Kluyveromyces lactis: one gene and its partner. The protein of the gene in region 1 interacts with the protein of each later gene in a pairwise test. Links are inferred from orthologs where the notes say so. Each region holds a gene or a part of one and is shown in the gene's direction. Other genes may lie near its edges. The genes, in order: HGH1 and CNS1.

Evidence for each region.
Region 2: the proteins of HGH1 (region 1) and CNS1 interact in binary tests that used the Saccharomyces cerevisiae proteins (3 or more experiments, as listed by UniProt). The link is inferred for Kluyveromyces lactis from reciprocal best matches to the Saccharomyces cerevisiae genes HGH1 and CNS1.

What each region holds. Positions count from the first base shown.
Region 1 is NC_006042.1:1,426,162-1,429,569, reverse strand, and holds HGH1 (Hgh1p), read left to right. Parts: upstream 1-1,572; coding exon 1,573-2,733; downstream 2,734-3,408. Other genes in the region: mRNA-binding protein PUF3, read left to right, coding at 1-447; EMC6 (Emc6p), read right to left, coding at 845-1,162; transcription factor IIF subunit TFG1, read right to left, coding at 2,919-3,408.
Region 2 is NC_006038.1:871,937-875,166, reverse strand, and holds CNS1 (HSP70/90 family co-chaperone CNS1), read left to right. Parts: upstream 1-1,294; coding exon 1,295-2,407; downstream 2,408-3,230. Other genes in the region: KLLA0_B09988g (glycosyltransferase family 15 protein), read left to right, coding at 1-829; SLI15 (Sli15p), read right to left, coding at 2,465-3,230. UniProt on the Saccharomyces cerevisiae protein: Co-chaperone that binds to the molecular chaperones Hsp90 (HSC82 and HSP82) and Hsp70 (SSA1). Stimulates SSA1 ATPase activity, but not Hsp90 ATPase activity. Involved in only a subset of Hsp90 functions.

The sequences.
Region 1 (3,408 bases):
AACTACGTAATTCAGCATATTTTACAGCATGGAACTGAAGATACGAGCAGTCACATAGGAATGAGTAAACAAAATATCATCGATATCATTCGTAAGAATGTTGTTGAATATTCAAAACACAAATTTGCCTCCAATGTTGTTGAAAAGTCAGTAGTTTACGGATCCAAAAACCAGATAAGACAGATTTTGGATCAAATTCTACCAAGAGACGAAGAGCACGCCGCTGATTTGGAAGATAATGCACCATTGATTCTAATGATGCGGGATCAATACGCGAACTACGTTGTTCAAAAGCTCGTGGGTGTCGCAACTGGTGAAGATGAGAGGTTGATTGTTATTTCCATCAGATCCTATTTGGATAAATCCAATAAAAATAACACTTTGGGTAACAGGCATTTGGCTAGTGTTGAAAAGTTAGCAACTTTGGTGGAAAAAATTCAGATATAGATGTATGTCAGCCTCAACTTGGGAAAGCAAGACAAAAAAAATTGTTCTGCCTCGAATATTTGCATTTGATAACCACGCTTTCTTTCCCTAATAACTGGTTCACTTTCTAAATCATTCTATTGATGAAGATTGCCATTTCTTACGTTTTGTATCCCCGTGATATCTCTCACGAAGATCTTAATATCTTCTAAAATCTGTTGTTGAGAACAGATTACTACCTAATAAATTAATATCCTTTAAATGTACATATTGTTTATCATCATCCTGTTTATAATACATGCAAATATTTATCTCTGCTATAAGTTTTAATGACCATAATATTATAGTACTTCTAGAATCCTAATGGTGATATCGTTCAGATGAAATCAACCCGTTAATGCAAAATGTGTCATATGCGTTACCTGACCAAAGTGAACGCTAACGTCCAAGTCATGACAAACCCAGCTAGCTCGCGGAATAGATTTTTAACCCATATTTTATGCACTGGATTAGTAAAATATAGACTAGGCTTGAATTTGCAAAACCACGCTATAAATATGAGGTTCACCAGGATATAAACAGCAAAAAACATTCCAAAACCTGCAAAAGATTGAAGTTGCAATATCCCAGCACTAAGTCCTGCTGTCAGCATTGTAGAATCCTGTATCCGTAGTAGTTTGTTGTTGTTGAAACTTCCACTTTTGGAAGACTTTAGGTCGGTGAAGCGATAACTCATTTTCCAATGCTGTTATCTCGTAGTTATGATTGCAATTGGTTGCAATAAGCCAAGACTAGAATAAAAGTGATTTATTATGATAAATGCAGCACTTAAGGATCAATCGAATCGCAGATTGAAAAGCTCTGTTTCTAACGGTGGTTCTATTCATTTAATTGAAGATGGAGATCTGTTATTGTCGGTTTGATGCTGATGTAATTGTTACCCGCCTTAAAGAGTCGAACCTTTTCTTTCACGAAACTTGAGAAACGTTTGACAAACTCATCGCAGCTCATCGCATCAACCATATCTACGTTGGCAGTTGGTGTAACTAGGTATTGTTCACCAGCTAATCAACTATAACTTTCATTGTTCAATAAAACATCTTTGTTCGAAATATCTGCGTTTACTTGATACGATAAAGAGGGAAGATGTCCACGGAATTAGAAGAATTAGTGTCATTTTTGCATTCAGACCAGCCTGCCGTCAGACAGATTGCTCTTGATAATCTGGTTGGCTTCTCAACTGGAGCAAGTGCTGTCATTTTCAAATGTAATAATTACAAAGCTATAGAGGATCTAAAAGTTCTAGCTAAAGATAAGTCAAAAGTTATCGTTCAACAATCCACTACGATTTTAGCGAATTTATGTGATGATGTTACTATGAGAAAGTTGATCGTCAAGGATACTGAATTCCTACAGTACTTATCGTGGAAAATCTGTGATTTAGCTAACGCAAGTGCGGATATCATGTGTATTTTATTGTCTAATCTCGCCAAGGAAGACAATATTACCGAATTGTTTTCGTTTGTTAAGAAGGAAGACGATGGTATTCCATTAAACATAGAAGTCTTTAAAAGCAACAAAGTAATGGATTGCTTAATGGATTGTTTTGTGAAGGGTTACGATAGAAAGTTGAACAGATATGCCACTTATGACTACTTAGCTTATTTCTTTGCCGACATTTCGAGATTTAAGATTGGTAGAGAGTATTTCATTGAACAGCAGGAGTATGACGGCGTCATCCCAATTTCTAAACTATTGGTATTCACTGAAAAGTATGATGCTAAAACCAGAAGAGAAGGTGTGGCTTATACCATCAAGAATTCGTTATTTGATTCCGAAAAGCATGAAAACCTTTTGACTAATGAGGAAATCAATCTTTTACCTTATATTCTTCTACCGATTGCATCAGCTAAAGACTCCGAAATTGATGAAGAAGATATGTTCAATCTACCGGATGAATTGCAACTCTTACCTGCCGACAAAGAGAGAGATCCTATTCCTGAAATCATATGTGTGCATTTAGAAAGTATTTTATTGCTTTGTACCACTAAAGCCGGCAGAGAATACTTAAGATCGAAATCAGTATACCCATTGGTCAGAGAGTTACATAAAAATATTGGAAATGACGATATCGGTGAATTATCTCATAGAATTGTTAACATGTTGATGAGAGGTGAGCCGGAGAATCAAGTGATAGAAGAAATCGTGGCCAAATCTGCGGAAGATGGCGAAATAGCCGAGATAGAAGAAGAAGAAGAAGAAGAAGAGTCCGACGATGATGACGATGCTATCGTCGAAGTTTTATAAATGATAACTTCCTATAGATATCTTGTTTTCAAATAACATATATTTATTTTAAGCGTACTTATTGTTAATAAACTGACTATATCAATATGCTATTTCCTGCCCCTTCCAATTGGACCCAGGTGATATATATCAATTATCACTACATGTATATCTCCAGAGGTTTGAAAACGAGGAAATTATGTTAACTACTTACTCAATTCGAGGAATTTACCGTTCAGTTTAACAAGTTTCTTGACAAAAACCTTCATTCTTTCTTTATTGTCAGGATGTCTACCGACCTTTTCTTTCAATTGTCTGATTAATTGTTTCAAAGTCAACTGCTTGCCCTCAATTGCATTGATTATATCGTCTTCCGTTAACAAATCATCTGCCGAGTGATCAGACTTTGCCCTCTTATTGTCCATAGATTCTTGTGGCTGAGACTCTGCTGGACGTTTCTTCAAGTTTGGATTCCAGGCTCCTGCAGGGAAGTTCGATAATACTGATTTCTCACCAGTTAGTACAACGATATTTTGATTAATGCTTTTTACTACTAATTTTGGTGGACCTGATGGTGTGTCAGAAGCTTTCTTCTTTGGTGAGGATCTCCGACTTTGCTTTTCATTATCCTTCTCGGAATCTTTCTTATCCGAATCAGCTTGCTCTTCATCTTCCTCAGAGTGTGATAGATATGGG
Region 2 (3,230 bases), on another chromosome or scaffold:
CAAAGAACGTATCTCTGCCATTGTTCCAAACTCTCAATTCGGTGTTATACCGAAGGAACACTGGTCATACCCAGATTATGTTTCTAAAGAACGTGCAGCTCAAACTAGAATTGACATGCAGGATATAATCTACGGTGCTTCCGAGAGTTATCGTCACATGTGTCGCTTTCAATCGGGGTTCTTTTTCCAACATCCATTATTAGCCGAGTTCGATTGGTACTGGCGTGTCGAACCAAGTACCGAATTGCTATGCTCCATCGATTATGATATCTTCCAACAGATGCAGGATAAAGACTTAGGTCTCGGATTCGTCATTTCTATCCATGAATTTGTCATCACAATCCCAACTTTATGGAACACTACTCGTGGGTTCGCAGAAAAACATTCAGAATACATCCATAACGACAATTTGTTGAAGTTCATATCCGATGATGGTGGTGATAGTTATAACTTGTGTCATTTCTGGTCGAATTTCGAAGTCGCCAACCTAAATTTCTACAGATCAAAAGCATACACGGACTATTTCGATTATCTTGATCGCTCAGGTGGATTCTTCTACGAACGCTGGGGTGATGCTCCCGTACATTCAATTGCTGCATCGCTTTTCTTGCCTCGCAACAAATTGCACTTTTTCCAAGATATTGGATATCATCACCCTCCATACAACAATTGTCCGTTCGACAGCGGAATTAGAGCCAAGGGTAAATGTTACTGTGACCCAAAAACCGATTTCACATTCAGGGATTACGCTTGTGGTATTCAATATTACGAGGCCCAAGGCATTGAAAAACCCTTTAATTGGAAAGATTATAGTGGCCGAGGCTATTGATATGGAATCTCACCTGGCCACCATCCACACTTATCATATTAATTCTCCCCTTCCCCCCATTCCCCACGATACTGATAGAACAATACAATTTGGGGCGCATACAGTTTTTTAAACTTTAGTACTCACTCTTATTTATTTGATTACTTGCCAGTATATAATCTGGTAATATTACCGGGTGTTGTAATGGACACCACCATTCACTAAATCACGTGGTTTGTTGATCTTTTTCTCGACTCGCCAAGAGAGCTTTGACACAGAATTTTACAAGTTCTAGGAAAAAAATCTCATCTCATCTCATCGAGCGGAAAGTGACTGTTCAAAAAAGCCAGTTACTCTGTCTCCACAGCTTCTGATAACGCACTTGGTATAGTCAAATTCCTGCCTGATTCACATCGTCAGAAATTTAACATTATCTGTATTATCTGAAGGGTTTAAAAGGAGGATATCTACTAAGGCCTGCTCACAATGGAAAAACCAAAGAGGTATGTTCCAGGTCCAAATGACCCACTTTTACCACCACAACTATCTGAGTTCCAAAATAAAACCACTGATGAGGTATTGGAGGAGTTAAATAAGATGCCATTTTTTATGAACAAACTTGACCCAGATGAAAGCAATGTAGAGTTGGAAGCCTTAAAAGCCATGGCCTATGAAGGTGAGCCCCATGAAATTGCAACTAATTTCAAGAATCAAGGGAACGATCTTTACAAGGGTAAGAGGTTTAAGGATGCAAGGGCTATGTATTTGAAAGCTTTGGATGTTAAATGTGATGTACTATCTATCAATGAATCTTTGTATTTGAATTTGGCTGCTTGCGAGCTTGAAATTAAAAACTATAGAAGTTGTATCAATTACTGTAGGGAGGCACTCAAACTAAATGCAAAAAACGTTAAGGCATTTTTCAGAATAGGTAAGGCTTATCTCGAATTGGGAAGGTTCGAAGATTCTCTCGAGGCCGTTCAAGTTGGGCTTGCCGTGGATCCTGAAAATGGGGCATTAAAATCCATCCAGTCCAAAGCTACTGAAAAGCTTAAACGTAAAAAGGAGCTGGAGAATCGTACTTTAGCTCAAAAACAGAAGGAAAAGGAACTCCAAGAGTTTTTGGATCTGGCAGTACAAATAAGAAACATAACGCTAGTTGATACCAAACAACCAGCAGGTCTTTTGAAAGATACTAAACTCACATTGGAAAACCCAACAGATTTCGAATCACAATTAATATTTCCAGCTATGGTTCTTTATCCGACTACGGACGAGTTTGACTTTATCGCGTCTGTTTCTGAACTATCCACACCAAATGACCTTCTTGATGTTGTACTTAACAGACCGGCAGAATGGTTTGCACAACCAGGGCACAAAGATTTTACTGCATCTAAACTTCATGCATACATGGAAACTCTGTCTGGAGGCTTGATCAAGATTGGTAAAAAAGTTACCTTCCATGATGTTTTGAAGATGGAGAAGCCTAAGGCTCCTCTTTTCGATAAGTCTCTAAGAGTATACTTTGTACCAAAAACGGAGGCACAAGGATGGCTAGATAACTGGGATAAGAATGCAGCAATAATGAAACGATTGTAGATATTACAGACACTAGATATTGCATTATATAGACACGTCACTATGAATTAAGGTAATTTACCTTTTCTTAAGTTTTTGTAGTCTTGAAGTGCTAGTTTGAAAGATCTCATCGATATGTAGCGGTGGAATGGGGCCTAATATTTGCTCTATATCCCAATTTTGTTGCAACAACAATTGTTGCTTTAGTTTTTCTGGCTCAGCCCACGAAGTCAGTGTCCGCTCTACTTGGTTATTACCTTCATCATCAGAAATGATTTCAGGTAAAGTAACATCGTTGGAAGTTCTTTCCGTTTTTGGTGGTGCGCCGATATATTCCCTATAATCAACTGTATTGATATCATGTAACATGGAATTTGTACTGGCAGATTTAGAGAGTGGCGGTAATGTTGCGTTGTTACGATCTAAAAGAATCTTTGTTCTTCTTTTAGTATCCTCATCTGCCTGAGAAATCCTCCTCTGTTGGAGTTCATACTTTTTCCGCATTTGTTGCTCTTGCTGGTTACGCATCACTTCACTCAACCGCTTATTCAATTTTTGCTTTAGCGTGTCTTTCTCTTGTTTGTTGCTTGAACTGCCAGTAATTAGCTGGAATCTGGTCAATCTATCGTGCGAATTGGTTCTTTGATCAGATGATGTAGGAGAGATAGACGTTGATTTATGAGTGGATAACTGTGGTATTACAGGAGGCTGCGATACTTCCTCTGGAAGCTGCTTCTTAGCACGAATGTTGTTGGTTTCATTTGATTGTGTTATATTTTCCCTGATTAAACCTTTTACTGGTGTAAGTTCTTTGATTCTTGGTATTAAAGACTTTCTTTCCGTG